4 linked regions of the Lepisosteus oculatus genome follow. The protein of the gene in region 1 purifies or fractionates together with the protein of each later gene. This does not show direct contact. Links are inferred from orthologs where the notes say so. Each region holds a gene or a part of one and is shown in the gene's direction. Other genes may lie near its edges.

Region 1 (8,394 bases):
TTCAGTACAGTCGTTGATTTGTCCATTTCATCCCCCATGCTTGATTTGCTTTCAGTGATCCTATTGAGATGTCTTTGAACATCATAACAAAGTCTTTGATATTGCATTCTATTTGAATCTAAAAAAAGCCCAATCCAAAAAGTTTAAAGTAGAGACTTACTTGATGAAACTAGAACCCATTCTGACTGTTTAAAAGCAGTCAGCTATCAGTCCTGTGAGTGAAGAGGTGCACTCACAGAAAAGGCAGAGAAGAGCAGGCTCTTAATTTTACTCCTCATTCAAAGAGTTTCATAGCACATTTGACTTTTTAAAGCTTTCTAGTCTATGCCAGGGTATACACACACACGTACAGTGGGACAATTTAGAAATGACAATTATCCTGGAGAGCATGCCTTTGGACCTTTAACTGGAGAACCCAGGAAACATTAAATTCAACATACTGGACAGCATGGGCACAACATTCAATCTCCGCACAAGAAGACAACCCAGGCCAGAATGAAACCCAGCACCCAGGGGTTGTGAAATGGCAGTGCTGACTACCATTCCACTTTAATGCCCAGAAATGCCTTAATGTAAGAAAATAAGTACATAATTTTAGAGGTCTTCATATGGCAATAAAAATGGTCCTTTAATGTTCCCAGATTGTGATTACCAATGGACTAGTCTGAAGGTCTCCACTCTGTAATAACATTTTTTGGTTCTTTTGTGACAAAAAGGAGAGAATTTTAATTCCTATTTAATTCTGTCCTTATTGAGAAAGAAAATGTGTGGAGGTGTTGAGACTAAGCCTATGGACTAAACTAAATCATCGTGGTATTAGGTATTTGTCTTGATTGCCTGCTTTAAGCACAGGTGTTTGATAAGCGCACATATAGAGCTTATCTACATTGACACAATGATGAAAAGTAAACATTCTACTCTCAGTTATCATAACAAATTTCTAACTTCTCTGTTTGTTTTAACCAACATTTTCACAGTTGTATCTATACTACATGGAGTGTTAATTAATTGTATTTAGAGTTTTCTCTACCAGCTATTAGATCCTCCAGCAGCCTAGAAAATTGTTCTATTGAAATGTCAGTGTTGCTTCAGTGGTTTGCAGATGTTGCTCTATGTAACTGCAGAGTTAGGTTCATTTTTCCAAAATGTGATTTCCTTTAATAATATATTCAACTAAACAAAATATGGCATGGCTCTACAGAATGGAGGTGACAATCATTTCTATGTCATTTCTACACATTTTGACTTCATGTAGCCTGAAAATAACAACAGGAAATCAGGGAACAACAGGGAATCAGAGAGGATCACATCCCAAAAATGATTTCGGTTTATGGTTAAGAACGTATCGAGTGCTTGTCCAGGTTATGTTGCAGGTGCCCTTTCTTTTAAACTCTTAATTCAGTGCCATCCACACTGACATGATTGACATGGCTCATCTACAACGTCTTTACCTCCATATTGCTTTAATATACAATTACCTGTCTTTTTAATAATAAACTTTCAAATATTACATTCTGTAACTTTTATCTTCTTCACCCTTCAGTCCTTTAGAACAATTTCATACAGAACTGCACATGAAAAATGTACTACTGTACTCAGTTACTGGATTCTGTATTTCCTATACCAGAAAAAAAAATGCATTGAAGAGAAAAATGTAAAAATGACTTCACAGTGAAGTTGAATGATTTGTATTTTCATTTTATTTATGTCAAGTATTGTTTCTGATGAGTTTGACAATAAATAGTACACAGAAATTACATGTAGCTTTTTTCCTATAAACATTATCTCAACAAAATCTATTGATCCTAGGCCAGGAGAGCAACAATACATCATTCCCTTATCACTTGTTTTTATTGTACATCTGGAGCTGTGCTGATAGAAAAAGTGTGCCTTCCTGTTTAACCTTCAAGAACTCACGATGCACTGCATGATTAGGCTACTAAACTGAGCAACAGAATGAACCACTCAGCCCAAAGCTTGACAGAACAGGCTCGATGTAATACTGGATAAAAGCCCTACAAAAATACTGCTGAGTGTGAATGTATTTTCTAGTTTTCAGAGGGGTTTATTAAAAAGCATACCTTTTTAAGGAGTTCTAATTTAATCTCTAACTTTAATTATGAATGAATCCTTTGAGATTACAGATTATTTAAGTGAGCTTTCAGCTGTAATGCTTGACACCTAATGAATGGAACCTGCACTTTCACTTTTTATTACAGTACATCAAACATTTTACTCTGCTCTTTAAGTAATAAGTATAAGTTGCAAGCAAAAGTGCGCTGACTATTTTTCTGGAGGAGTCCATTCCTCTAACAAACTGACTGTAGAAAATGTAATTGATGGGCATATTGGTTTCTGTGGTTTTCCCGATCAGTAGTCCAAATCCCTGTACTTTATTTTTGCTAAAAACAGTGACATGTTTCTCTTGGTGCTCAAAATATATATCACAGTCAAACCTCATGGGAAAGACAGAAGCTAATTTATTTTTTCAAAAACTGCTAATTAAAATGTAACTGATACTGTACACAATAAGGATAGGGAATGTAAATAAACTGGTACAGTACTCTCAAATTCAGTAACTGGTGCATGTAACATTAATGAATGTAACATTAAGAAGGGTATGATAGAAATTGTCTTACAAGCTAAAAAAATCTTAAAATTGACATAGCACTACTGAAAAAATATTTTATTGTTCTAGAAATCCTGTCTCTCTGTACACAAACACTCTAATATAAGTGCAACTTATTATTGAATTTTATTTTCTTGCTTAATCTAACGAGGCATGCACTGACTAGTGACTTATTCCTTAATTAGCATAAATTGTTTTAACTTATTTCTATATTAAGAGATCACATTAAGCTGCAGCAAACTGAATCATTTACTGTCACCTTTTAGTACAATTACTTTCAGCTGTGATGGGATCTGTTACTTTAAGTCAACTTTGACTACATCAAAGTTTAAAGTTTGGAGTACTTAGTTTGTCTTTTGTGTCACAAACAGCATTATGAAAGAAAGAAAAAAATTGTATCTTAATATTATGGAAAGGTAAAGAATGATTTCTTCCAAATCAACAATACATTCAGAAATAAGCCATTTCATTATACACATACACCTGTGTATGTTTATATCTGTGTATACAAAAAGCTCTTTTGTCAACATTCGTTTCAGTGAGATTCTAATATGATTTGTCCCCTAATGTAAATTGCTTTAAAAAAAAACATTGACAGAATCAGGACTTTGTCAGTCATTTAAACCATTTCTCAGTAAATCAAACAGGTTCTCATTTCGCTTGAAGTAGTGCTTCCAGAATTGCACTTCTAATGTAATTTACCAGTACTGATAATGTGTTTGCTTATACACTTTTCACATCTGCAGGGTTATATACTTTGACTATTAAATCAGTGTGTAGGCACAGCTTAGTAAACTTAATATAAAATATTGTTTTACATTATACTGAGTATTTATCCTAGATTTACTTTCAAGAGTGGATTTATGCTTTCTTTAGATGTGCAGGTGGATTTATAACTACAATATTTCACAGTTTGACAGGTGTATGTACTGTACAGTTAAACTAATTTCTCAAGTGGAAATTCAATCAAATAATGAAAATAAGGATAGCATTAGAACAAAGTTAAAGTTCCTGGAAAATGATCACAGTTTTGTACTTATCCTGCCTAAAATGTGAAAATAACTAGTAAAACCAACAATTTATTTTTAAGTCAATAGATGTTTAAATGTGAGACATTTTACCAATGGGTAAGACAAATTAAATACTGCTTGCCCACATTGTACTATCTATAATCACTGACCAGCTTGGAGAGTACTAAGAACATTTTATATTGATGATCATTTTAGTCTTTATGACTAAATGAGGCAGAGCCTGCTAATTGTTAATTTATTACAGGCAACAAAACCACTTTTCATTTGGACTAATTGGCACGATCCTTAAAATATGAACATTATAAACGTTACAGATGAGAGCAGAACACCATTTAAGTCATCTCGTTCATCAGGCTGTAGAAGTTTAATGACCTCAGAAATCCATCACAATTTTCTTCATGTTCTCAGAGACTCAACATCCACAATATGAATTTAGTTTGTTCCTTTGTGGAAAAGTGTTTCTTGCTCCAAGTCTTTGTAAAAGGTGCACATCATTTCAATTCATGCTCTTTAGTCATGATCACTATGTTGAGCAAGAGGGAAAGGATTGTGTAACATTCTCAGTCGTTTTTATATAACATTTAGACTAAATACACAGTCCTGAGTCAGTGCCAGAGTATTTTCCTGGGGCATACGTATCTACAAGCATGGAGATATATTCCACCACATTCCAATTCTAGAGCAACAACAGTAAAAGGAGCTTTTGTGTTTTATAGTCAATTATATTTCACTATTCAAAACGTTAGACCTCTTTAAAGATCAAAACTGTACGCATGGAAATAATACATAGTACCCCGTTGGGATTTACGTGCTGCGTTGCTTTGTTTACAATGAAAATAATCAATATTTTTAAACATCTATTTTATGTCAGAAAATCATAAAAATATATCACGCCAAATACAGCGACCTTTTAAAGACAAGGAATACGCTGGAAAAAAACAGCGTGTATCTTGCGCTGTTTTTATTCACACGATTAGCAAGCGCTTCCACCTCCAGTATGCCATGAACATGAATTTCTAAGGACCGAAGCAATGCCCAGCTCCCACCTCGTCCTGCACTTCTGTGCCTCTCCAGGCTCCGTCATCGATCACGTGAGACAACGGCACACAAGTGACGCAGGAGCCGGTAGGTTAAAGTTGACTCGTTGCGCGTGACGTTTCCGGCCGGCTCCTCTTTCTCTCCTCCGCTTCCCCTGCAGAAGGTCCTTCTCTGTGCTCCATCATGGCGAACGCCGTTGATACTAAACTCTACGACATCCTCGGGGTGCCCCCCAGTGCTTCTGAAAACGAGCTGAAAAAGGTACAAGGGAACGGGAGCATTAAGTGTGTTCGCTGGTGTCGGTTACCTTAGCGTCGCAAACTGCGGGGAAGTCTTTAGGAAGAAGGAAGCAGGGGGTTGATAAATGTGGCCTAGCAGCATTATCCATATCCATTGTAAGACACTACCGGGCCCAACTGAAAAAAGAAACAAACTCACTGCCGGGCTATTTTGTGATCATCTTCTTTATTTATGTGCAACACTGCTTTGTCATTCAACCCGGCGTTACCTTTCAGTGAGTTGTGGTTTCACATCGCTTTATTTGAATTCCGTGTAAGGTTGTTGCCTTTGAAGAGGAAAGGTGGTCACAATAAGTTAATCGAAACGAGGCTCGATTTTTTTTTTTTAAGGTTGGTTTTCATTTTAGGTAAAACTGTTGAACCAAAACTGCTGAGAACGACAGGTCTTCTCGGAGGAGGGGAATCATTTTTAAGTAGACGTAAACAAATGCTGGACTCTTTTTTTTACATTTATAAAACTCGTTAATGGCTGGTAAGCCGCTGTAAGTTGGTGATTAAAATCGTTTTCGTTGTTTTTATTGCGATTTTGACATGAAAATATTCGGTTGATATCGTGCGGCCGTCTGCTTATCTCTCTTTTATATACGTGTTTGGGCCACAAATATTCAGAGAGCCGCTTATTTCTATACGAAGGGCGTGAGAAATCACAAATCAAACTCCAGGAAAAAAAGCCGGTTAAAATTACGTCGTTTTAAGAGCTGTGAAACAGTCGTTTAAATTCTACCCCATTTTTCGAAGTGGTGTTCTCCTGCCCATGGAAGGCTACCTTTGTATTCTGGTTTTACTTCCTGTGAATCCCACGAAGGGGGAAGTTGTAGGAATGTGCAAATTATCCAGGTGGATCCTTATAGAATTTTTCAGAACTTTTCACGCAAGCACTTTACAGGTAATGGGGACTCCCCTCCACCATCACCAAAGTGTAGCCCCCACCTGGATGATGCAATGGCAGCCAGAGTGCGCCACTATGCTCACCACACATCAGTTATCATTAGGGAAGAGAGCAGAGTAATGAGGCCAATTCATAGATGGGGATTATCATAGGGAGGCTATGATTGGTAAAGGCTGGGGGTATTATTTGGCAAGGACACCACAGTCAACACCCCTACTCTTTTTGAGAAATGTGATTTTTAATTACCTCGGTTTTACTTCTCATCCAAAGGTCAGGACAGTTTTACAATATAGTGTACCCATCCCTAAACTGTGGCATTAGGATCCTCACACTGCAGGATGAGTGCTCCCTAGTGGCCCCGCTAACATCTCTTCCAGTAGGAACCTTCGCTTTCCTGGAAGGTCTCGCATCCAGGTACTGGCCAGCATCACACCTGCTTGGCTACAGTGGATTGTCAATTGTGAGTTGCAGGGTGATACAACTGCTGGCTATATTCTGAGCTGTCTAGATTTTACTTTAGTTTTACAAAGTTGCATTTGACATTGGTTGAAGATCGCAGTACTTTGAGTGAGGGTTTATATTGTACCTATTGGTCCTTATTTTCTTTTTAAAATATGGTAGCCTCTGTATTCATAACCTTTCCAGGGATATTTGACTACTGTAGTATTTTGCATAGTCTGTATTTTAACTCTGCTTTCTTCAGTTGGTGCCACAACTTGTCATCAGTCTCTAGCAGAACATTGTAGAGCTTTGTGCTTTATTTTAACATGACACAGGCTATTGTAAAATCCACTTGCAGCCAAGCTTAATCTTCTAGGCACCAATTTGTGTTTGGAATACCTTGGGAATCACTCTACCAGCTCTACCTAGGACACTACTATGCTACAAGAGGATGCAAAACTGCATTGACACTGAATGTAATTCTGTTCTTGATGATGAAGGGGATGCCATTCCTTATCAACATGAAATTATTTTTGTATTAATCATGTCACTGTATTATGATTATCTGAGATCTGTTTCCATGGAATCGCATTGTTTAGCACCGTTTGATTTGGGAGGTTGCCATTTGGCAAGTGTTTATGATGCCATGGAATTCTGCCACAGACTCCAGATTAAGGGGGTCAAGCTTTAAAGGAGTTTTGTCCTGGTCATCGTTGAGGGTTTTTTGAATGATACACAATTGTTACCTTTGGCTGTGAATTAACAAACAAGGTCACCAAACCAATTTTCTGAACACACTTTCAGGTATAACTATCTTCTTCCTGACCAACCATAAATTCTTGATGGAGACAAGTTAAAAGTGTGGTCTCTTCTAGATATTTTTATAAAGTTAAGGTAAATCACTTAAGTTGGATCTTAAGAAAATTATTAATTTCTCCATGATGTGGTATTTAGTGGTTCTGTGCTCATTGTGTTCTTTAACAGCTGGTGGCAATTAGCATAACTTCCAGAAGCATCTATAAACCTCGAGGCTTAAGGTAGCTATTAGATGACTGAAACATTATCGATATATCAGTACATTTGATTCTGGGTTTTTAAGAAACGAATTCAGTAATTCAAGTTTAAATTCTTAATGTACTTTCTTTTGTTAATTCATATGTGAATACTTAATCTTATTTCTAGCTATGAAATCAGATCAGTTGGTCCCTAGTGAGTACATTGAGCTAAAGTCGTGTCAGTTGAATTAGTTTTTGAATTTTACTTAAGACAATGTATATTGTGTATTTCTGGTTTCCGGTATTCAGTGACAGTAGTCTTACCAACTTTGATTTCCCTGATCTCTTGGTTGCTCAGTAGGTTGGAAAGTCTTAAATGTCTAATTGAGCAAGTAATTAGATTAAGTTGGTATTTCTTCAGATGTAGAAAAATGCTGAAAACGCCTAAAACCCTTGGGAAATGGATTTTGTTATTCATGTTGTAGATAAGGGGTCTGTACCAGTCAAGAATACCTTTTGTGCTTTAAAGGCCTTAAGCAATATATGCAGTATGATCTAACCAAGCATACTGACAATGTTTTATTTTTGGAACATCTGTTTGCAGATGTATAAAAATATTTGCAGTGTTATCTCAGACAATGTCATGAGTACAGTAAGACTAACTCCCGTGAAAACATAGCATATTATTTGTGTTTTGTCACAGGGTTAACATTATTGCTTATGTTTATCTGAGCATATCAGCCCACGTTTATTAGATTTGTGTGGTTTAATCCAAGTATAGTGGCTCGCAAACTAAAATTGTTTATTATATTCTTCCTTTAGGCATACCGCAAGTTAGCAAAAGAATACCATCCTGATAAGAATCCAAATGCTGGAGATAAGGTAAGGAGAAGAGTTTTTACATGCGAACTGCTTGATGGAAACTATTTGGAACTTCCCTAAAAGTATGATTTTGTAAAATCTAAAGAACGTTAACAGGGTGTTGCAAAGCTGTACTAAGTCAACTTTTTGTGTATAAGGTCTTTAAGACGTATAATATTTTTCATTTTTAAATGGCTTTTCGTTGGTACCA
Region 2 (7,985 bases), on another chromosome or scaffold:
TCACTAGGGTGCGGTTTTGGCTGGTAAATCTTAAAGGTTTTTTGTTACCCAGGCTGACCCCTGTAACTCTCTCCGGCCCAGAGATCTACAGTTTACTGGAATTCAGGACTCACCGAACCCACCCTCCCCCACACCCGCCTCAGAGAAGTAGAGTAGCCCAGAATTCAAGATGCGCCGAAACCAGCTGTCCGACCGGTTTTCAGACTCAAAAACTTATAGTGCCGACGATGCAAAGTTCATCCCTAACTGTTAGTCTGAATAAAATGGCACCACGAATCTGTCTTACTTGCCTTCTAACCCGTGTTTTTGGGACAGAGCGGTTACGCAGTGTCTCCATCTCTGGTAGAGAAGGTGACCGTCACCGCACACGGGAGAGAGCAGCTCTCGCCGTGCTGTCGTGTGAGCAGAGCTGGCCGGCGTGGAAACCCGCCGGGACCGATCGAAGCGGGGGGGGCATGGAAACGTGCCTCCCCGGCCGAGTTCCTGGCGCTTCGCGGGGAGAGCTCAGATTGTCTCGACGGGGCCCGGGCCTTTAATGACCCCGCGGCAGCGCTCTCTCACGGAGTCGGCCCCGTGGGAGCTGCGTCCCGGGGACACAGCCGTGGCAGGTGAGCCTGTGCTCTGATTAGAGCGAGGCGCAGAACTGCTTCTCAGGACAGCCCGGCCCAGCCCAGAGCCTGGCGGTGCAGGTCGATCGTCCTGCGGGGGTCGGCGTGTGGCTGGCGGGCGTGATGCTCTGTTATGTCCCGCTGGAGCTCTTCCTGCCTGCCTGTGGCTTTCTCGCTTTCTCTTGAGGAGTTTAGCTACAGCTCTCCTGCCCCAGCGGGGCTCGCTTGTACCGTGGGGAAACGCGTTTTACTACAGCAATGCACAGTACAGTACAGTGCAGTAAGGACTTCCGAAATCAGGGTGAAAGAACAGTAAAGAGCAGTCGCCAGCACTGAATGAGGATTAGAGCGCAGTAAAGACCAGTGAAATAAGGATGGAAGCAAAGAAGAACAGTAGAAACTCGAAACACTTGTAAATGAAAGCTATGGTCAAATGTAAGATTGGATAGCCCAGGGAAGTATTCTATGACTAACACTGAAATGTACCATGGTAAATACTCTCAGGGCCTATAAGTCCCGTTCTCGTTTATGATTCTCTGTAAACATATCTGCTTTGACTATGGATAACGAGCCATAGTCAGCGGTATGGTCTGTGTCTCACAACCGAGAGACCCAGCGTGTATGGACTGACCTCCTCCCCCCATCCCCCCTTCTCCTTCCTCCTTCCTCCTCTTCCTCAGCCGGTGATACCAGGGTAGTGACTGGACCTGCCCCTGTAGTGTTCCGGCGTTTCCATGGAAGCGCGGAAGTCCCAGTGAAGGGTCACAGTCTGGGCTGTAAGCACTCCGGACGCCCCCCCGAATAGCGGACACCTGTGCCACCTACTGGCCAAACACCAGAACTGCTGGTGTAGCACGGGGGGGGGAGCTTCAGAAACAGCAGAAAGCGTCATTCCGACACAGCATTTAAAACTATGTCTGCATCCCGGTTGCTTTGTCTTTAACGCTCTCTTGAGCTGCTATCCAGTGTCTCTCTGTACAGTCTCTATATCAGACTGTCTAGCTGGGCCTTTACAGGGTACAGTCAGGCTCTAAGCAGTTTCAGGCTTGTTCCACTAGGGGGCAGCGTGTGATTCCTGTGCGACATTTCCCTTCTGTCGGTGGTAGCCATAGCAACAGCTGCAGCCAGATCGCGCCGCTTGTTTCTGTATTTTACTCTTCATTAGGCTTTGCTGGACACTTCGCTGCCAAACGTTAATGAGCAGTCAAACCAATTCCCTGTTCTAAAAAGAGCCGTGCGAATTCTGGATACTGGGAGCAGCAGCGCTCCAGCAGCTTGCCTTGACCCCAGACAGCTGCCAGGACAAGCGGAGCCCACTGTATTATTACTGATACAGTGATACTCAGGCTGGGACAGGAGATCACACACTGTATTATTAATGTTGAGAGACAGGCCCACTGTCTGTTCCTCAGGCTGGGACAGGAGATCACACACTTCATTATTAATGTTGAGAGACAGGTCCACTGTCTGTTCCTCAGGCTGTGACAGGAGATCACACACTGTATTATTAATGTTGAGAGACAGGCCCACTGTCTGTTCCTCAGGCTGGGACAGGAGATCACACACTGTATTATTACTGATACAGTGATACTCACTCCCTGTTCCTCAGGCTGGGACAGGAGATCACACACTGTATTATTAATGTTGAGAGACAGGCCCACTGTCTGTTCCTCAGGCTGGGGCAGGAGATCACACACTGTATTATTATTATTATTGAGAGACAGGCTCACTGTCTGTCCCTCAGGCTGGAACATGAGATCACACACAGTATTATTATTGATACAGTGATACTCACTGTCTGTTCCTCAGGCTGGGACAGGAGATCACACAATGTATTATTATTATGGAGAGACAGGCTCACTGTCTTTTCCTCAGGCTGGGACAGGAGATCACATGCTGTATTATTATTGATACAGTGATGCTCACTGTCTGTTCCTCAGGCTGTGACAGAAGATCACACAATGTATTATTATTATGGAGAGACAGGCTCACTGTCTTTTCCTCAGGCTGTGACAGGAGATCACACACTGTTTTATTATTATTATTGGGAGACAGGCTCACTGTTCCTCAGGCTGGGACAGGAGATCACACACTGTTTTATTATTACTGAGAGAGAGGCTCACTGTCTGTTCCTCGGGCTGGGACAGGAGATCACACACTGTATTATTATTATTGAGAGAAAGACTCACTGTCTGTTCCTCAGGCTGTGACAGGAGATCACACACTGTAATATTATTGATACAGTGATACTCACTGTCTGTTCCTCAGGCTGTGACAGGAGATCACACACTGTATTGTTTTTATTGAGAGGTGGGCTCACTGTCTGTTCCTCAGGCTGTGACAGGAGATCACACACTGTATTATTATTATGGAGAGACAGGCTCACTGTCTGTTCCTCAGGCTGGGACAGGAGATCACACACTGTATTATTATTATGGAGAGACAGACTCACTGTCTGTTCCTCAGGCTGTGACAGGAGATCACACACTGTATTATTATTGAGAGACAGGTTCACTGTCTGTTCCTCAGGCTGGGACAGGAGATCACACGCTGTATTATTATTGATACAGTGATACTGTCTGTCCCTCAGGCTGGGACATGAGATCACACACTGTATTATTATTGAGAGACAGGCCCACTGTCTGTTCCTCAGGCTGTGACAGGAGATCACACACTGTATTGTTTTTATTGAGAGGTGGGCTCACTGTCTGTTTCTCAGGCTTTGACAGGAGATCACACACTGTATTATTATTATGGAGAGACAGGCTCACTGTCTGTTCCTCAGGCTGGGACAAGAGATCACACACTGTATTATTATTATTGAGAGGTGGGCTCACTGTCTGTTTCTCAGGCTTTGACAGGAGATCACACACTGTATTATTATTATTATTATTATTATTATTATTATTATTATTATTATTGAGAGGTGGGCTCACTGTCTGTTCCTCAGGCTGTGACAGGAGATCACACACTGTATTATTATTATGGAGAGACAGGCTCACTGTCTGTTCCTCAGGCTGTGACAGGAGATCACACACTGTATTGTTATTATTGAGAGGTGCTGAGGAGCAGATAGTGAGATAGGGCTCACTATCTGCTCCTCAGGCTGGGACAGGAGATCACACGCTGTATTATTATTATTGTGAGACAGAACAAGTCCCCTCTCTCCCTTCCTTTCTCTGATTCCCTCTCCCAGTGTCTCCCAGTGACATCCTGTAACTCTGGATCTCCCTCTGTTACTTCCTTTCCCTCTCTGTCTCTTACTGTGTGTCAGTCTGTATTCCTGTCATGTGAGTGTGTGTGTCTGTATCCCTGTCATGTGTAAGTGGAAGCCTGTGTTTGTGAGTCTGTGTGTGTAGGTCTGTATTCCTGTCATGTGAGTGTTTGTGAGAGTCTGTGTGTGTAGGCCTGTATCCCTGTCATGTGAATGTGTGTCAGTCTGTATGTCTGTCATGTGTATGAGCGAGCCTGTGTGTGTGTGCCTGTAAAGAGGTGAGGTCCATCAGGTCTGTTGGGCTGTCCTGTGTGTGTCCTGCCCACAGGTGTGTCAGTGGAACAGCCCTGTGAATGATGTGCAGATAGACACACATACACAAACTGGTCTGCAGCAGCTCGGAGCCGGACTCCTGACCTCGCCCTGTGATCTGTGTGCTATCTGAAGGGATATTCTTGCTAACTGTTCATTTTGTTAAAAACCTGAATTGAGTGCATTATGTAAGTGACCTAACTGAATGTCTAAATCTATTTTAAAACCAAAATAAATTGATTAGTCTCGGTCCGCTGTAATTCTACCCATATCGCCTAGTGGTAGTAGCAGGGTGTATCGAAGCCTATTGCAATCTGTTGCGTGACTGTATACAACCGTGTCCATAAAGCAACGCCTTTGAATTATACAGTGTCAAACCGTCTGACCCCAGAGGTCACGAGAGGGTGCCCCGTGCGCGCTGGGGTCTCGAGAGGCGCGAGCCGCCGATCTCCCCGTGGGCACGCGCGCGGCGCCGGGCACAGAACCAGCAGAGACTCGCGCAAAAAAAAAAAACCAAGAACAAGAATAAAAAAAAACACCGAATTCAAGACACTTCTCGGGCGGAGCTGTGAGCGAAGTATAGCCTACGTGGGCAGCAAAACGACAGGGACCTGCCCGTGGCGCTGAGACCGAGAGATAGAAGGAGGGCGTCTGCGCCCGCAGCGGGGAGATGGGGCCGACCTGCTCTCGGAAAGCCTGTATCCCGGGATAAAGTAAATTCCGCCGCTGGAAAACTAACGAAGAAAGGACGGAAAGGGGGCTGGGAGAGGGTGGGCACCGGCCGGAGCCAGGAATAGCGGCTCTGCCAAGCCTGCCGCCCTCGCCTGTGCTGGTGCGCATCGGGACGCGCGGAGGACGTGGACCGCTGATTGCAAACAGGGGACCCGCTGGAGAGTTCGCGATAGTCCGCGGACACGCACGGCCCTCTGTCCCCGAGCGGCTGTGACTTCCTTAATTTTTTTCACTCTCGGTCGCTGCAGCCCCGATCCCTGCGATTGAGGGTTATTTTCAGGAGTGTCCCTGCCGCCCGAAGTTGCTAAGCGTCCACGGCGTGTCCACGGATCGTCTTACCGCCTCACACGGCGACCTGCGTGTTTTTTTTTATTCTTTTGGCAGTAACTCAAAACTGACACGTCTAATTCCTCATAAACCTAACTGTTTTCTTTTTAATTGACTTTTGCCGTCCTCGCTGCAGTTTACCGATGTTTGTTCGTGGTCTGGTCACGGGGGTGGACAGGCACAGTCAGGACTGAACGCACAGGGCTCGGGTGACTGCAGGGACGTCTCCAGCCCGGAGTCCCTCCCCCCGGCTCGCTCGGACCTTGCGCTGGACTGGCTGTTTGAAGGTGAGCTCAGTTCATATCCTGTCCGTTTTACCGCCGCCGAGTTATCGAGTATCGTGACTATTGCACGGACAGACCGGGACTCCTGCCAGTGTGGGGCTGAATGGCAGAACATATCCAACAAAGACAGTGTCTCCTGCCAGACAGGCGCCCCCAGTGCGGTCTGGGACTGCGGGTGAAGATGAGAGTTTGGGACAGCGGGTGAAGATGAGAGTTTGGGACAGTGGGTGACGTTGAGAGTTTGGGACACTCCAGGGTGTGAGAGTTTGGGACAGCGGGTGAAGAGAGTTTGGGATGCTCCAGGGTGTGTGAGTTTGGGACGCTCCAGGGTGTGAGAGTTTGGGACAGCTGGTGAAGATGAGAGTTTGGGATGCTCCAGGGTGTGAGAGTTTGGGACAGTGGGTAAAGTTGAGAGTTTGGGACACTGGGTGACATTGAGAGTTTGGGACACTCCAGGGTGTGTGAGTTTGGGACAGTGGGTAAAGTTGAGAGTTTGGGACGCTCCAGGGTGTGAGAGTTTGGGACAGTGGGTAAAGTTGAGAGTTTGGGACGCTCCAGGGTGTGAGAGTTCGGGACAGCGGGTGAAGATGAGAGAGGGCACATGGGCGGGTGTGTGTGCATATGAGCCAGTTTCCCCGAATGAGTTAAGACCCATGATGACTGGAAACTGTGTGTGATCTCGAAAGGCACATATAACACTGAAATTCATCATCACAAGAGTGAGAGTCAGTCCTGTGTGGTTTCAGTGGTATTGAGCTCAGTTAGCACAGCAGCTGATGCACACATTGCAAGAGGTGACATACAGAGACAAGAGGTACTGTGTCACACTGAGAGACAAGAGTTACTGTGTCACACTGCGTGCCTGTCCTGTCCTTTGAGAGTTTGTATTGTTTTATGGTGTGTTTGTGATGCTTGTCCTGTCCTTTGCTTTGTGATCAATTCTTTCTTAACGCCTTGTAGGAGGAAGTCAGTTGTCACAGTGAAAGTGAGTCAGCTGTGTCCTGTCTTCCCATACCTTTTGGTAAAGGCTAGTTAACAGATCCCAGTGGCCAGTCTCACACCTGCTCAAAGGTGCCTTTTAAGCACTGACACTGCAGTGCTGCATGTGTGCAATATATACTGTCCCACTTCAAGCACAGAGGACCTGAGTCTCTGGTGGGGCTGCACTTCACAGCTGATCTGAGAGTGGTGGGTGCGTGGAACAAGCTGCCCAGCGGTGTGGGTGAAGCAGAGGCCCTGGGAGCCCTCAGTAAGGTGCTGCAAAGAAGGAAAAAGGGGGCTACAGCCTGGAAACCTCACAGACAGCAGGCTCAGTCCTCGAACCCCTGTTCAGCAGCTAGAGGGCAGTGCTGGGAGAGGAGTCTCAGAGTTTGTTTCATTTCCTGGCCATGAGCACCATCTCATCCAATCAGAGTCGCCCATCCACCGGTTTTCTAACTGCTTCCTCCAGCTGGAGCCCGTCCCAGCAAGCAGTGGGCGCAGGGCGGGGTACACCCTGGACAGGACACCAGTCCATCGCAGGGCAGACACACTCACACCAGGGCCAATTTTCCCAGCAGCCCAGTCGGCCTCCCAGCAGGTCTGTGGAAAACCAGAGCTCCCAGAGGAAACCCACACAAACAGGGAGAGAACATGCAGACTCCACACAGACAGACCCTCAGGTCTGGAATCTGAACCCAGGGCCGCAGCACTGAGCCACCCTGCCGCCTGCTCAATCAGAGGGATGGTGGAGACAATCTGTGACCACTGACTCGCTGTTGATCCAGAGGAGTTCCTGGCTCCCAGTGTCACTGTGGGGATCCCAGAAGGCCAGAAGGAATGAAGGAACCTACCTTCCCATGTCACCCCCTCCTACCTGCCCAAATTATAACATCCACTGTGCATCTTCCCCCACCCTGTGGGCGCTCTTCTTTTACACAGAGAGTGGTGGGAGTGTGGAACAAGCTGCCCCCCTAGCCATATTGGTAAGATCCTCAACATCTGTTTTCTTTCAAGGAACAGCTGGTGGAGATCCTCAGATTAATTCACTACCTATCGAACGGGCCTCAGCTCCCTTGTAGAGACGCTGGAGGGGCGCGACGCGTCCCGTTGTTTCGGGTATTTACGGTAATGCGAGGCCACGTGTGGAATGTTTGGAGGCGCGCAATTGTCGACGTCCTACGGTAACGCAGGCGGGGGGAGTTACGCTGTGCTGTAGACCTGCTTGTTTAAACTAATGACAGTGTTTCACTGAGGCGGTGGGGGAGTTGGGATGAGTAGAGAAAGGAACTGAGAAAACGGGGTGAGGCTCGCCGCTCTCTGCATATATTCCAGCACTTTCCGCGGGGAGAGGGAGGGTCACTCCCTGACACTCGCAGGGGTAGGAGAGGGGTTCTCCGGAGCGGAGGAGCCGGAGTCAGCCTGGACTCAGCAGGTGAAACACCGCGTTTCGCTCTTCTCGCTCTGTACGCCCCGAGACAGTCCCTGCGCCCGCGAGGGGCTGTGGGGCGGGGCGGACCGGGACCGGGA
Region 3 (7,828 bases), on another chromosome or scaffold:
CAACAAAAGCAAACAAAAATCAGGGTAACAATATATCAGGAGATAATATTTCACTTTTAAGAATGAGTTTGCAGAGGGGATGAACTGTCATGTTGGTGCAAATAACCGGGCTCTAAAAAATGAAAATGAATATTGTTTTCTTCAACTATTAGAGCAAACAGTTCCCTGAGCAGGTATCTGGATAACTAAGATGCAATGTTTGTTCCGGGGTTGGGGTTTGAAACTTCTACAGTTTGTCTGTTTTTTCACTCTACATTAAATGTAATTTATTCCAGAATCACTTTTCATTTCACAGGCAATACCTGTGGACACAATCTATAAGATGCATGTGTACATTTTGAGTACTACCACGTGAATACAAATGCAATAGTCTAATGTTGGGGGAAGCTGGATAACCTGTGTTCTAGAAGTCAAATGGTGTTCATGACTGTTCATAAGAGGTGGTCTACAGTATTAAATCAACAGTAAACAAGTTCTTAATGACCCTGGATCACTATAGTTTATGTTCTCAAAACAAGTGGAAGGGATTGCATAGAAACTTATTTGCTTGTTACCAAATGTCCTTTAACAGTTTTAGGAATTTATCTACTGGTCATGATCCTGAAGAATTTATCAGAAAGCTAAAGCTGTTATCTCAATAAGTAGTCAATAGACTTTACATAATCGAAAGCTATGAATAACTAGTACTTTTTTCATAGCATGGGAACTTAACCCAAGGTATTTTCTTTTGCTTTCCCTTCTGATTCTTTCTCTTGTGAGAATGTACACAGCGATGTGAGGACTCAAGAGACAGCTGCATAATGCCACCTAGTGGTAATATGTAAATCGTGACCATGTTATACACAATGTTACTACAAGGAGATACAAGGTTTGAAATCACTAATGAGGCACGTACAGTAAATGACTGCTATGTCACTGTATGAATGCTTAAGATACAACACAAGGTCTGGGAAAGGAACATTAGTAATCCATTATTTATTTTTATAAAACAGTAGTGAAGCAAATTTAACATGAACTTAGTTTCAATGTTTATATTGCAATTCAATACAGAAAATATGAAGTGGCTTCCCCAGTGTTCAAGTCGATTATTTAAAAGAGCTCCATCCATTTCCCTCTCTTTCCTGCAGCTGTGTGAGAAGGATGTTTGACTACACTGACTACATCAGCTGCAGCAGGGCATTATTAGGTTCTCCTTTGATACACACTCCAGAACTCTGACGTTTTTAAGTAAGTTAAGTATGTTTTTTAGGTATTTCACTCGCTCGAAGGTCTTCAGAGACAGTTTGCAGGAATGCTCTGCTGAGGCCCCAGCTGGGATCAGGGTCAGTATTTCCACACTACTTAGACAGTTTTGAAGCTCTGTGCTGGATTTTGGGTGCCAAGGGAACATGAGTACGAGTGATTATTTGCTCCTATCTGAATCTTTTTTTTTTCTGAGACTTTTGGCTGCCTTTGTTTGGTATTGCAGCACTCAGGAATTTGAAAACTGAGTAAGATCAAAAGGTGCAGTATAATGATAACCTGTTCTATTGAAGACCATGCATTTGCAATAACTGGCGGAGCGGTGGCCCTGTGGCTCAGGATCTGCACCTGTGACCGGAAGGTTGCCGGTTCGTATCCCGCGGCCGGCAGAGGAATCCTACTCCGTTGGGCCCCTGAGCAAGGCCCTTTACCCCAGCTGCTCCAGGGGCGCTGTACAATGGCTGACCCTGCGCTCTGACCCCCAGCTTCTCTCCCTGTCTCTGTGTCTGTGTCTCCATGGAGAAAAAGCTGGGGTATGTAAAAAGACACATTCCTAATGCAAGAAATTGTATAGGGCTAATAAAGAAACATTATTAGTTTTGATTGCTTTAGAATCATATCTTTTGGTTTGAGGAACTTTCGCAAAAATTTTGATTCATCATCATCATCATCATCATCATGATCGGCAAGCTTCATTGCGGAGGAGCCGCCCCCATCAGCCACCTTTGCCAAGCCGTGTCCAGGCCTATATCCAGAGGTTTCAGGTTGTCCTCAGCCGTGTGAAGCCAGGTCCGGCCGGGTCTGCCCCTTGGTCTCTTCCAGCCGGCTGGGGTTTCTGAAGCGCCCGCAGCTGTCGCGCGATGATGAAGATCCTGACACGGGGCAGCTCCTGCCATGTGGCCGAAGAAGCAGAGGAATATCGGAGATCGATCAACTGGGAGATTGGTTGGCAACCGGTGGTGCGTCGAACTTCTGCATGCGTTGCGTGTCTGGCATAGGGGATCTGCAGGATCTTCCCCAGGCACCACATGTCGCATGCGTCCAGCCGAGCACATAAAAATTGTGGTCGACCCTAATGCACATCTCCTGCTATGCCCCCAAGCTCTGGAACTCTTTACCCAAGGATATTAGAGAGTCACCTTCTCTAAACTCCTTCAAATCCAGACTCAAAACTTTCTTCTTCAGTAAAGCCTTTACTTAACTGGTTCCATTCTTCACCCCTCTGCTCTTCTTAATACCATCTTCCACGGTCTCCTCTATTGTTATTGTTGTATTGTTGTAATTATAATTGTGTCCTGTCTTGTGAAATTTTCTTATTTATTGTTGTAGTCTTCTTATTTATTGTTATTGTCATCCTGTAAAGCGCTTTGAGAAGCCACCTTTAAAGGCGCTATATAAAATAAAGTTTATTATTATTATTATAATGCGGGATCTCCAGTCATGTCTTTCGAGCTGCTTCATGCAGCTGGGCGCAATTGCCAGTTGTCGTAGTACTTCCATGCTGGAACTCCCTGATTCCTGAATGGTGCTACACAGGTAGACGAACGACTCAGGTTCTGGAACTGCTCAATTGAAACCCAGCTACGGATGAGGCTAGCATTCACACACTACATAGAACATTTTTACGATCAGGGCTGGATTGTGCGACCTAAGCCAGCGCTAGGAAGGCTGATAATTTGCTCCTATCTCCAACCTTTTTTTTTTCTTTTTTTCAAGACTTTTGGCCGCTTGGATGTTGCAGTGCACGGTTCAGGGATTGTATTCCAAAACTGGAGTCAGATCAAAGGTTGTAAGAAAGCCAGTTCTAATGGGTTAACACTTTCAAATGTTCCAAAAAGTTGGAGGTAAGAGCAAATGATCACTGACTTGGGCCCCAGAATCCAGAGCTAAAGGTAAAAATTGTCTAAGTAGCGTGTGAATGCTAACACTGACCCTAGCTGGGGTTTCAAATGAGCAATTCTGCAATCTGTCTCTGAAGCCCTCCAGTCACAAAATATTCCTCAAAGAAAAAAATAGGAGTCTAAAATAATCAAAACTAGGGAAAAAAAGCTCTTGGAAAATCAATAATTCTTCAATATACTGTATATTCTTCAATAAAAAATCATCTGTAGGAAAATTTTCAGCCAGCTGACAAACACTGTTATACTAGCATCATATAAATACAATTTAAACAGCCAATCTCAACGGATTGAAAATATACTGCAGGTTTCCAAACACGTAGCCTTGGAAAGCACGTTGCAGATTTCCTATATTTTTTTAACATTTCACACTAGATCTGAGGTGAGGTCTGGTGTTGTAACCCCGGCGTCCTGGCCAAATTTCCCATTGGCCCTTATCAATCATGGCCTCCTAATAATCCCCCTCTATGATTTGGCTATATTACTCTCTGCTCTCCTCCCCACTGATAGCTGATGTGTGGGGAGCGTTCTGGCGCACTATGGCTGGATTGTGGAGAAGCCAGGGCTTAACCAACAAGGCCGGACAGGCTCGTTCCAGACCCTTGACAGCTCTGAGGGTGAAGGAGTCGGTTCTTTTAAGTGCTCTTCCATGTACAGTGTTTTGCCCTTATTCCCCCTGGTTCGTGTTCTAACTGTTCGTTCTGAAGATGCCTGCTTGGTTCTCTTTGACAAATACTTTTGAGGATTTTCAGTACAGACAGTGCCCCCCCGGGATCATCTCTGATCTCTGATGTATATTCTTCAATAAAAAATCATCTGTAGGAAAATTTTCAGCCAGCTGACAAACACTGTTATACTAGCATCATATAAATACAATTTAAACAGCCAATCTCAACGGATTGAAAATATACTGCAGGTTTCCAAACACGTAGCCTTGGAAAGCACGTTGCAGATTTCCTATATTTTTTTAACATTTCACACTAGATCTGAGGTGAGGTCTGGTGTTGTAACCCCGGCGTCCTGGCCAAATTTCCCATTGGCCCTTATCAATCATGGCCTCCTAATAATCCCCCTCTATGATTTGGCTACATTACTCTCTGCTCTCCTCCCCACTGATAGCTGGTGTGTGGTGAGCATTCTGGCGCACTATGGCTGCTGTCGCATCATCCAGGTGGGGCTGCACATTGGTGGTGGTGGAGGGGATCCCCATTACCTGTAAAGCGCTTTGAGTGGATTGTCCAGAAAAGCGCTATATAAGTGTAAGCATTTATTATTATTATTATTATTATTATTATTATTATTATTATTATTATTATTATTATTATTATTATTATTTAGGGATTCAATGACACCCGCCCGCACGCCAGCTCCCTCGTTGAACTGCAGTTCCCCTACCAGCCTGTTCGCGGCAGGGCTGCGCCGGCGGTGACGTCACGCGTGACGCGGCTGTTGATGCCGGGCCAGCGCGCGAGGGAACTGTTTCATAACTCCGCGGGAAGAGTTGAAACTTACACAACGGAGCTGCAGGCGCGGAGGGACGGGAAAGGTTGCTTGTACATCGCATAAAAGCACATTACTCCTTGACAGGAATATCGGAGAATGCCAACAGCGGTGAGGTCTGTAGCTGAGCAAAGCAAATTTAACTCCGGTTGTATTCCTTATGTGAAATTACAACGAATGAAGGTGAGTTCTCTCATTACAGGAGTTTACACCGGGTTTTTAGCTTTGTTCTTGAGAAATTGTCGCCGATACTGAACCTTGGTGGTTGTTTCTTGTGCGTGGGAGCTCCGACGAGTGGCGGAACAAGTGTTTCTCTGCGTCAGGTTGATCTTCTCGATGATTACGTTGCAGACTTCACACAATGTAGACCACGCCACGGCCGCAGTAGAGCAGATGTAGGTTAATACGACACTGCAAGGATTTGGCTGCGGGTCTTGTTCTGTCTGCTTGAGACGCGTCTGAGTCAAGAAGGCTGCTGGTCTGTACGTGAAACCCCGACGCAAGGAAAGACGCTGCTGAGGAGGAAATGTAGTTACTGTCTTGCCAGGACCGTCTTCTTTCGGTGTACAGAACTGTTGTATCTGTATTTTGAGAGAGTTGTCAACTCGCTGTAAGAAGTCTTGGTGCCATGATTAGATGGGGGGGGGGGGGTTGTTATTTTTGCATCTCGGCAATCGTGGTACACGTCAGTGAGCCCTGCCAAACTCATTGCATATTTGAACTGGTTTTATTTAGTGGTACGTTTAATGTTTGTAATATAGAAATAAGCCGTCCGCTCGAGTGCATTGCGCGGAGTTCCGCTGTTCTTCGGGACCGGCGGCGTGACGTCATGCAGGATCTGGGTTCCCGGCGCGGTGCTCGGAGCTCTCCGATAGCGTCGTCTTTCTTATAGACCTGTCCTGACTTCCACACCCTCTACTGTACCTCGGAAAAAAGCCGTTTCGGGAGCTTACTGTGCGGTATATCAAATTTGAGCAGCATTATGCCATTTTATTTTTAATTTAAGTAATGTTTACCTCGGGAGATGATGTGAATAAAAGCCTCTGCACCGTGACTGTTCAGGAAAGAATCAACCTGGATTCATTCCGCTTTTGCGTTTAAAACGTGCTTGGTTGTGAGGATTCCTGCCACTTTATTATTATTATTATTATTATTATTAGTGGGGAAACTGGGATTGAAATCCCTTATGGTGGTTTTTATTGAGGAATGTGCTCCCGAGTATAGCAGGAGCCGAAAACTTCAGGCTGACGGATCAAATCTGAAATCGGCACGCTGTTTTTAGACCTCCACAAGCGCAAAACTGCAACACACCCTCCCAGCCTGTTAACCAAGTGGAGTAACGTTTTTTTTGGCCTGCAAACATCTTACAGGAGCAGACTCTGCTTCCGAGCCCCCCGGGCGCGGCTGCGGGGAGGAGCGGGGCCGCCGTGCCGAGAGAGGTCCTGCCCAGCAAGCGCCCGATGCGCAAGTCGCCCGGGAAAGCGCACCCGGCCCCGGGGCAGGGCGTCAAGAGAAAGGTAGACCCGTTCGCCCCTGATGGCCAGTCTGTAGCTGATCTAATTCAGCTGTTTCTTGATCGAGCCCCCTCGGGAGTTAGTAGTTAACTGATGCGAGGAGAAGCCAGGGCTTAACCAACAAGGCCGGACGGGCTCGTTCCAGACTCTTGACAGCTCTGAGGGTGAAGGAGTCGGTTCTTTTAAGTGCTCTTCCATGTACAGTGTTTTGCCCTTATTCCCCCTGGTTTGTGTTCTAACTGTTCGTTCTGAAGATGCCTGCTTGGTTCTCTTTGACAAATATCTTTGAGGATTTTCAGTACAGACAGTGCCCCCCACCCTGGGGTCATCTCTGATAAAGAAATAAAAAGGTCCAGTTCCTTCAGTCTGTCAGTGTAGGACGTTCGCTGAAACTCTCAGATGTGTCTGGCTGCTCTTCTCTAGACTGATTCCAGAGCTGCAACATCTTTTCTATTACATGGTGACCAAAATCCGACAGGATATTCTACGTGAGGCTGTGCTAGTGTGACCGTCGCGGTTCCGCGCGGGCTCGTGCCCTCCGCCACCCCGTTTCGTCCCGCAGCACCTGGGGCGCGAACCCGGGTCTCCGGCGTCACGCAACAGGGAACCAGCCCCATGAGCTAAAGGAGACCTCCCTCAGCCCAGGCAGCTGAGGTCCCTGCTGCGCCCAGGGAGGGCGCTGACGTCACCACACTAGCTCCGCTACACTAGTGTACTAGCAAGTTTTAGCATGAAATCCTTTAAAGGTATAAGATCCCAGGGAATCGGCACCCACAGTCCTCAGTTATAGAAACCTCAAAAAAAGTCTGGGGCCTAGTCAGGTCAGTCACGGTGGGGTTTGGTTAGAATCCAAAATCAGGACTCGTAGAAGTTGATTGAGGGTGTTCAACAGAGCCCACTTTTCTCGATCTGCAGTGATTAAAGGGAGATTGTACAGTGACGGAGTCCAGCATCACACAAAACAAATCAAAAGCAGACGCAGCTGATTACGTACGCCTTCTGTGCGTCGCAAAACTGTGCCTTTTACAAAAGGCCATTCTTCTGACGGATGTTTTTGTTATTTGTTATGATATCTCGGGAACCCTCTAATTCTGTCTCTCCCGTGCTTGTTGGCGTGCTCAGCTTCTGCGAATTCATGCTTAGGTGCACGGCCCAAGCCTTTCTTTTTAAAACTGATTATGTTTTGGTGTTGGATATTAAAGAAAAACTGAGCAAATATTCTATAGAAAATGTCCTTTTGCAATAAAACATAATCATAAATAGACAAAAAAATAATTTCATGCTTGATCACAGCATTTGAAGAGATGATAGCCGACATGTTTACTGTGCACTTTGTCGTCTGTCAGGAGAGACATTCGTCGTCGGATGAGCCTGCCGCGTCACGGAGCAGGTCCAGGTCGGACAGCGAGTGCAGCAGTGACAGCGAGTGGGAAGGCCCGGTGAGGTTTCTGCACAGTCTAGGGCAGAGGTCTCGAACCCTGATTCTGCAGAGCCTGGATCCAGAAGGTCTTATAGGTCACCGCTAAATCACCAATTTCTAAAGCCCTGGAATAATTACACTGTGGCCAATTAGGAATGGCAATTGTTAAGCTAGGTTATTCAAAACCAGTTTTAATTGAACAGGTCACTTGGTTAATCAATCCGTATCACTGTGGTGTTGTTAATACTGAGAAT
Region 4 (8,154 bases), on another chromosome or scaffold:
TTATTTTGAAAATGATTACACCTCAGTTATATTTTTCTATTATTGCATAGACATATAGATCTGTCAATGTATTTGCCGACATCAACAGTGAGATTTCTGTAGAAAATCCATTTCCTTATGAAAGTGAATTAATTTTCCCTCACAAAAAATAGTAAATTCTGTTTATATTAGGAATTGTTTTAATGCAGAAATTCCACAGTGGAGATTAATATACAGTATGCAGTCACAGGTTAAATGCAATCATAATTTTAGCTTTCACCAGAATGTACGAAGAAGTTATTGTGTATGGGACTTTTATGTACAGCTGTCTCCCTGTGTGGAGTATGCGATCTTACAACAAAATGTATTTTTGCTGAAGAGCATTTTGATATAATATAACAGGCACACATGATTAGCAATCCAGGGAAATATTGGTCTTTTTCTTTACAAATAGTTCAATAAGCAAAGTGAGTTTTATATAAGGGTTGTATTCATAAGTGTAATAAGTTTTGTTTGAATTAAAGCAGAAAGACGCTTTTGATTTTGGTTTGGTTTTGTTAAATCAGCATATCTTATAATATTGATCTGGTCATAATCTCATCAAAGGTAGGATAAGTGCTTCTCATTAATAAATTTAAAAGCAGGGCAATTGTGAAGTGAAATGAGTGATATTCTATGTACATGCAAGTGAAAAATATTTTTGAAATGTCTCAAATTAACCTGTCCAAGTATCAGCAGCTAAAGAGACGCCACTCACCTGATTCTAGCAGCACTGCGTCTTCACAGCTCTCGAGTCCTGGACTTCTCTGAATGGAGGCATTTTCTATGTGGAGTTTGCATGTTTTTATTCTTTTTGTTGGGGGGAGTCCAAGCACTCAGCGTATCCCTTCACCTTCCAAGGACATACTGGCTCGGATAAGATGTTCAACTCAGGCGCTGACAATTTTTGATTCAAGATGTCAAGGCACTGTTTGTATTGGGTTCAATTTTGAGTCCAAGCACAGAAAAGTGACGTGACTGCTCAGGAATCAATCAGGAAAGAGCAACCCGGTCCGTTCCCGGGCTCAAAGGAATATGTCACTCTGGCGGGCTGAGACACGGCTGACCAGTCCTATTCGTGCAGGGCCAAGGTGTTGGCACATTTTTCATCCCAGCTGAAATCTAATTGACCTTCCTTGGCTTGTGATTGACTTTAATAGGCCATTTCACCCACCTTTCCCACTGTTCAGATGCTACTGTTTCAAAGGAACCTAAAAGACCTGTAGACCCACCAGTCCTCCAGCACAAGTGTTGGACAGCTCTTGGATGAAAGACTTGAGAAGACGACAAGGGGGCCTGATGCAAGTGTTCAAAATCTTCAAAGGTATTTGTCAAATCTACAGATGTCCTCGGAATCCACAGTTATCCAGAGGACACAATCGGAAAGTATAGGGAACAGAGGGTAGGTGCAGGTGATGAGAAACAGCTTTGGTCAACCACACTAGGAAGAGGGCCTTCCCCATGTGTTCAAAAAGCCCTCCCTTAAAAGCTGTGATCCAAGTATTCATAATCCTCCAAGGCGCCTGCTTAAACGTCTTCAGAATCACCAGTGAAACATCAGTAGAGAGTAGTTTATTGTCGTATGTACACATATATTAGAATTAATCGCGCTGATCTCTCGGGACATACACAGTACAAAATAATCCCTTACACTTATATAGCGTTTTTCTGGACACTCCACTCAAAGCGCTTTACAGGTAATGGGGACTCCCCTCCACACCACCAGTGTGTAGCCCCCACCTGGATGATGCGACGGCAGCCATAGTGCGCCAGAACGCTCCCCACACATCGGCTATCAGTGGGGAGGAGAACAGAGTGATGAGGCCAGTTCATAGATGGGGATTATTAGGAGGCCATGATTGGAAAAGGCCAATGGGAAATTTGGCCAGGGCGCCAGGGTTAACACCTTTACTCTTTTCGAGAAACACCCTGGGATTTTTAATGACCACGGAGAGTCAGGACCTCGGTTTTTACGTCTCATCCGAACGACGGCGCCTTTTCTTTACAGTATAGTGTCCCCGTCACTATACTGGGGCATAACTGAATTAGCTCAATTCAGTTGACGTCGTTTCTGACTTCAATGCCGTCCTGCCCATGCTGTAATACCCCCTTGAACACAGTGAACACCGGGAATAAAATGGTTTTCTAATGACTTAAGGATAAAGGCTTGATCATTTATACAGCAAATTATCCCGTCGACTGTTTTGAGAATGAACTTTGAATTTTTTTATTTCCATGTTAATCTTGAAAGAAAATACAAGATCTTGTTTCGAAGCGATTTCACATTAAATCGTGTGGTTATTTACATTAAAGACTTTCTAAGGGCAGAAGTCTCGAGCTCGGAACTTTTAACCTCAGGGCGCCAACAGCAATCGGCCTTCTTTTTAAAATATTTATTATTTTTGCCACAAGGGGGCGTCAGACGTTAAAACAATGTTAAGGAACGAAGTCTTAACTCCCAGGACGGCGGAGTTGTGTTCTGAGTAGTTTACCATTATCAATGATTAACCCTTGAGAAAAAACTCAGATTTAGAAACTGGGCGGGAAAGGCGTGTTAAGCATTTACTCCCAACAAGCCTTTCTTCTGCTTCACATTTTATGAAACATTTTTATATGGACTGGGTGTGGTGAATGGGACCCGTATTAACAGCCCAGTCGTAAGCGAATTCTGCAGTTGCAAAAAGGGAGGGGATTTCATGGGTCTGAAAGAAACACATTTATTTTTTCCCCACGCTGAAGAAGTGTGCTTCACAGTCCAGCACGAATTTCCGTGAGAGTCGTGAGGTGTTGGAATGAGACCAGACAAAAACGTACTGCATTTGAGATACATTGGGAGGGAGGGTGACTGCAGAGGCTGTTGTACTCTCGGGTTCTGGTTAATGTCTCCGCTTCAGGTCAAGCCGTGGAGTGTGAGCGAGAAAGAGCATCGCCAGACCCCGGGAAACGCCGATCAGAAGTCGAGCAATCAGAGAGTCTGCGCCCCCGGCCAGCGGACGCCAGGCGCACGGTTCAGCCGCAGCCGTGAAGAACTGCCACTTCTTCTCGTTTCAGTTTTTTTCTCTTCCAGCTCTCGGGCATTTCACCTTCGATGGGGGTGAAACGCTGCTGATTAGCCTTCGTGCAGCTGATTGATAGGAATGCGTACTCCCCGAATAGCTCGGGTCTGGAATAGTTCCTCTGGCTTCCCGGCCTTGGCTGTGATCCAAGCCTGCCTAGTGTCAAGTTCATGTGAGCAGCGCTCTGCGTAAACAGACTGTCCCTCTCCACCCCGCCCCTCCAGACCTGCCAACCTGAAGAGCAGAAACAGATGAAAACGGGGCTTTACTGGAGAGGGATGCTGTGAATGATGGGACTTACTCAGCATGTATCTCTGCGATTTTTCAAATTCACGCTCATTTGTAAAATATATTGCAGATACCCCCCTATTGGACATAAAACGTTACGGTGTGGGCTGTGCTGTAAATTCAATGAAATCAGCTTTAACACATCTTCTCCTCCCGCCTTGGGAATGAAAAAAAAAACACACACACATTCTCATTGCCAAGACGTCTGAACGTGATGACGTTTTCGGAAAGCAAAAAAGAAAAACCGCAGCCGAGCCTAACGTGATCAATAAAGAATGCCGCCGCAGTCTCTTGCCTCTCTGACGGTTGACGCGTTTTGAAATTGCAGCAGACCAGGCGTGCATTTTGACGTGAAAATGCGTTCGTAGTTGATTGGTTTTCACAGAAGACAAATCCGCGTGAAGTATCCCAGATGCACAAGATTAACTTGTAGAAAAGGGGTTTAAGATTCATGCCCTGCTTATATTCAATTTACAATAAAAAGGTATTTGGCAAAGCCGTCATGCACACACAGTACAGCAGGTTTGGGTCGGTGTCATTACTGCTGTGTATAGGTGCTTTATTAAAATCCCACAAACCTTCAGTTCATAGTAAATTGAACATCAATAGAATATCAATGAAACCTAAACACGCTCGTCTAAGCTCAGCTTCCTGTACTACGCGCTGACTGCGCTGGGGGTGTTTTCTGACAGCTCAGCGTTACTCATTACAGGAAAACAACCGCTTCTCGCTGCCAAAAGACTCATCCTGCAGCGTGAGATTGACGAGGCCGAGGAAGGTGCTGACTGGCTCTCCTTCCTGTCTGGAGCAGAGCTGCAGTGGTTTGTATGTGTCCACAATATTAACTTGTGTGACACCCCCCCGCCTCTCTCCAGTCGCTGCTGAATCGCACAGCAGGCTGCTCTCACCTGCTCGGGGGAACGCCGCCTACAGACCTCAGCATTTTCAGCAACTGAGATCTGGTCTTCATCTTCCGTGTTCAATTGTAATTAATACTTATAAGAACTGTGTTCTGTCGTGTGCTACAGGGCCCTTTTTCCCCCCAATTAAACACAGCCTTGAGCTGGATGTTTTCAGCTTTAAAAAGAACAGTTTGCTCGGTGTGTGTGGCGCATTGCAATGGTTCAGCTGTGTTGTAAAAAGCACCGATGCGCGCAGCAAGGAAAACCCCAGAAAATGTTACACGTGTTAGAAGCGCGCTACCTTTAAGAAGAAAATTAATAACGCTATTTTAATTGTAAAACGAGGGGTAAATGCCAAAATACCGCAGTTCCCTCACAGCACAGCTGTAAAACCGCCTTCCTCGGTAACCCCTCTCCTTTTGCAGAGGTGCGGTTGGAATGCGTGAGCGCCGCAGCCTGTTATGTGTCTAAGGGGGCTTCAACTTCTTCCTCGCCCATCCCTCAGCCGCGCACACACACACACACCGTGGAGGGAACCCCCTCCCCATCGCAGAGGGGTTTTCCCTCTGCGGACTCACGATCACTGCAGAAACGTGGCGCATCACACTATTCCGTGATGCTGCGGTGAGTGCAATAGCGTGTTTCTCTACAGTCGGAGCAGTGTCGCCACACACACCTCTGCGCGACCGAAGCACTGAAGGAACCCATTCCGCATCAGCGCAACGCTCGTCGTCCTGCTATCGTTATTGCTTCGTTACAAAAGCAAAGCTGTGGCAATTCTCTTGTACGCACTGAGCTGGGCACCCGTGACCCACATTGGTGAAGCAACGCAACTGTAAAAGCAAACTGAGGAGAGCAGCGGGGACGAAACTACAAATCCCAGATGCTGGAACAATATCCTCACACGGTTCAGTCTCCTGTAATCAACCACTACGGACCTGCCCACTAGCATCTCCTCTCTGATTGGATCCCGGTAGATAAACTCCCCGATCCAATTGGCTGTAGCAGTTGCCAATCTGGACGGAAATGTATCCAGTTCCCCGGTATCCAGTTGCAGCCTTTGAGAACAGACTACAAAGAAACGGGAGCTTGTCTATGGGATCTCATTGTTTTGCACTGATACAAACCTGAGAAGGAATTTACAATTTGGTTTTTTTTCTCCCCTTGGCTCTCACTAATTTTCCCACCGGCTTCAGGATGATGAAGTTTAGGTTCAGGAGACAGGGGAATGATCCCCAAAGAGAGAAAATCAAACAGGACCTTTTTGCTTTTAATAAGGTAACGTTGAAACATTTGGGAAAGACGTCCGTTTCTTTCTGGTGGCAAGCATGCCGACTCGTATTGTATCAGTGAACTGTATTGAGAGTTAAAAGGGGGGGGCATTTTTAGTTTTAATGCACGCTTCAAATGTGAGGAGACGTTCATACAATCTGCATTTATCTTATTTTTAAGCACCCGTGTAAAGGTAGGGCATAGCTGGGAAAAATTGCAGTCTAACGGTCCCGCTAATCTGAGAACAAATCTCTGCATCTGCGTACGGCTAGGGGATTCGTGTGTTGTTGTCTGTCGCCTTCCTAGTTTGTGAAAGTCATGGAAAATGTGTCATCTCTGGAGTTTGACCAGTGCTGGGGGTTTAATGTGTGCTTCTAAATCGATTAGTTTCCTCGTGCTGCAGAACATGGTTTAACAATAATTGAAGTGCTGCAGTTTCTTAGGAGTTAGACACGCCGATGGACGCGGAGAGAAGTTGCATTTCCTCATATATTTTTACAAATCTGTGTTTCTTCCTTCAGTTCACCCCTTCATGTTTATTACCATTGATATTAAGACCAGTCGTCAAAACCCGTTACTCTAATAAGGCACTTTATCGGTCTATTGAGAAAAATCGGTCTATCCTGATTCGCTCTCGGTTTGTACTTTGCGTTTCTCTAGCATTTTTAACTACATTTTAATTCCTTCGAAATGCTTCTATAACAAATTTTGGTCTCTCGTCCAACCTACCAGCTGGCTAATATATACCGTATATATGAGTAGGTGTAGTTTATTTCGCCTTGTTTATTTGCATCATGTAGCGAAGTAGCTCGGTGTTTTAAAACGCGTGCTCCAGCACATTCATAACTGTTCCATTCACATTCATGTCCAAATTAACTGTTGTTCTCGCCTGAATGGATTTACAGTGGGAAAACGGACAATAACCGCATACACTGTCCTTTACGGAGGAGTTAAAACATCGTTTAATGACACGCACCTAAAGTGCAGGGAATATACCATTAGTATGAGTCATTTTATAGTGTGATGGCTCTGATGGGGCACTATGTGGTAAATTTAAATCGAGAAAAAAATGCAAACAATTTACGAGTTTCTGCGTATTTTGTGTATCTCAAACCCCAGTAAGCAACCAGTTTAGGGGTGCATTGCCCACAAAACACGTCTCTACCAGCTCGCGCAGTTTGTTCTGTGAGGAGGTGTATTTGGGATAATCGTACAAGTTTCTGTCAAATGTATGAAATGCCTAAAGGGGGGGTATTGTTCCTCTTTTTGAGAGTGTTGCAGGCACTTCTTTTTCTTATAAATCAACTGATTCCCAGCGCTAGTGTTTTCATCCCTTATAGCGTTTGATCGAGATAATTTTATTAAATTAAACTAGTTGTGACCAGGGCAACATGGTGGTATATTGGTTTAAGATTGTAATTCGTAAGGGGGGAAAGAGACGGTCTTTAAAAAAACAATATGGGACGTGCTCATCATGTTGAACGTTTAAGAGAACTGTTTATTTCTGGGGGAAGGCAGTTTCCGTGTGCTTTTATGTGGGAGTGGGAGTTCAATGCACTATTGCATTTTTCCTTAAACAAATAGCGTGTACTCCCACCGGTAACAATTCTAAACCTGTGCTTTGATGTGACAAATGGTTGGTAATGTGTTTGAAAACCTTCGTCTTTCCACAGGGAGTAAATGCAACCAACAAAACGTGCGTTTTGTGCTACTGTTGTTGGTTTGCCTGTGCTACAATGCAGTTGGAGTGCTTATCAATTCTTTTGATGTTCTGTTTGTCATATATCGTGTGCCCTTGCCGTATTTATGACAATATTGAAGTTGTTTTGTGTTAAAAACCTTTAGGATTCTTTAAGACAAAGGGCCATGTTTAAGTTAAAACCCTGTTAAAAAAATTGCTTCAATATTTTAAAAAGTTATTGCAGGCAGCTTCGCATTACCCACTGCGCTATGTAAACATTGTATTCGGTTCACACAAGTACCTCACGTGATTTTTTTAAAGAGAGAGAGTGATGAATGGAGTGTTACAGGAGCAGGAAGTATAGTTTCTTGTTGAGCAAAACCACAGATCTTGGCAAGTGGAACTTTTGCGGACTGCATTTCTGTGGGATCCTCTTTCTGCTGTTGATGGGGGGAGAGTTTGTCTTCCAACTTTCTATAGATACCCCTCCACTGGGAGGTTGGGGGGCTTGACTGAGGGAGGAGAAATGTGTCCATGAGCCCTTAGTACTTCATTGCACAATGTGAGCTGTGACACATTGCTGTCTCCTTCTGATGGATGACTAAGGGTCCTGTGAGGTGATGTCAGCTGTTTGTTGTCATGTTTGTGCTTCTCTGGGAAAAGGCACAGCTTTTCCTCTATGAATGCATGTTCAAGAACATCCCTTTTCTCCTTCTGACTGGCAATAACATTGGTTAGGCAATGGGTTTGGCATTCATTTTCAATCCAAGTCTGATGCATTTGAAATTTGGAGATGCATCTAGGAAGACTGGAGAAGGGGTGGAATCTCGAGATAGAGGAGCTGCCCGATTTCTGAATCCGAAGGTAAATCAGGGCCCTGTTGTGCCACAGGTGACCCTAGGAATAGGGTAACATCCCTTTCTGCGTGGAATAAAAG

What was found.
Region 2: the proteins of dnaja2a (region 1) and pld2 purify together in Homo sapiens (affinity purification with mass spectrometry; 3 studies listed by BioGRID and IntAct, with this or other methods). This does not show direct contact. The link is inferred for Lepisosteus oculatus from reciprocal best matches to the Homo sapiens genes DNAJA2 and PLD2.
Region 3: the proteins of dnaja2a (region 1) and wdr76 purify together in Homo sapiens (affinity purification with mass spectrometry; 3 studies listed by BioGRID and IntAct, with this or other methods). This does not show direct contact. The link is inferred for Lepisosteus oculatus from reciprocal best matches to the Homo sapiens genes DNAJA2 and WDR76.
Region 4: the proteins of dnaja2a (region 1) and llgl1 purify together in Homo sapiens (co-immunoprecipitation; 3 studies listed by BioGRID and IntAct, with this or other methods). This does not show direct contact. The link is inferred for Lepisosteus oculatus from reciprocal best matches to the Homo sapiens genes DNAJA2 and LLGL1.

What each region holds. Positions count from the first base shown.
Region 1 is NC_090715.1:6,801,413-6,809,806, reverse strand, and holds the start of dnaja2a (dnaJ homolog subfamily A member 2a), read left to right. Parts: upstream 1-4,802; 5' UTR 4,803-4,881; coding exon 4,882-4,959; intron 4,960-8,144; coding exon 8,145-8,204; intron 8,205-8,394. UniProt on the Homo sapiens protein: Co-chaperone of Hsc70. Stimulates ATP hydrolysis and the folding of unfolded proteins mediated by HSPA1A/B (in vitro).
Region 2 is NC_090698.1:9,970,301-9,978,285, forward strand, and holds the start of pld2 (phospholipase D2), read left to right. Parts: upstream 1-4,462; 5' UTR 4,463-5,480; intron 5,481-7,468; exon of another isoform or gene 7,469-7,890; intron 7,891-7,985.
Region 3 is NC_090700.1:56,865,425-56,873,252, forward strand, and holds the start of wdr76 (WD repeat-containing protein 76), read left to right. Parts: upstream 1-4,592; 5' UTR 4,593-4,739; coding exon 4,740-4,823; intron 4,824-4,991; exon of another isoform or gene 4,992-5,122; intron 5,123-5,130; exon of another isoform or gene 5,131-5,599; intron 5,600-6,010; coding exon 6,011-6,157; intron 6,158-7,500; coding exon 7,501-7,593; intron 7,594-7,828. UniProt on the Homo sapiens protein: Specifically binds 5-hydroxymethylcytosine (5hmC), suggesting that it acts as a specific reader of 5hmC.
Region 4 is NC_090714.1:11,062,109-11,070,262, reverse strand, and holds the start of llgl1 (lethal(2) giant larvae protein homolog 1), read left to right. Parts: upstream 1-4,866; 5' UTR 4,867-5,461; coding exon 5,462-5,542; intron 5,543-8,154. UniProt on the Homo sapiens protein: Cortical cytoskeleton protein found in a complex involved in maintaining cell polarity and epithelial integrity. Involved in the regulation of mitotic spindle orientation, proliferation, differentiation and tissue organization of neuroepithelial cells.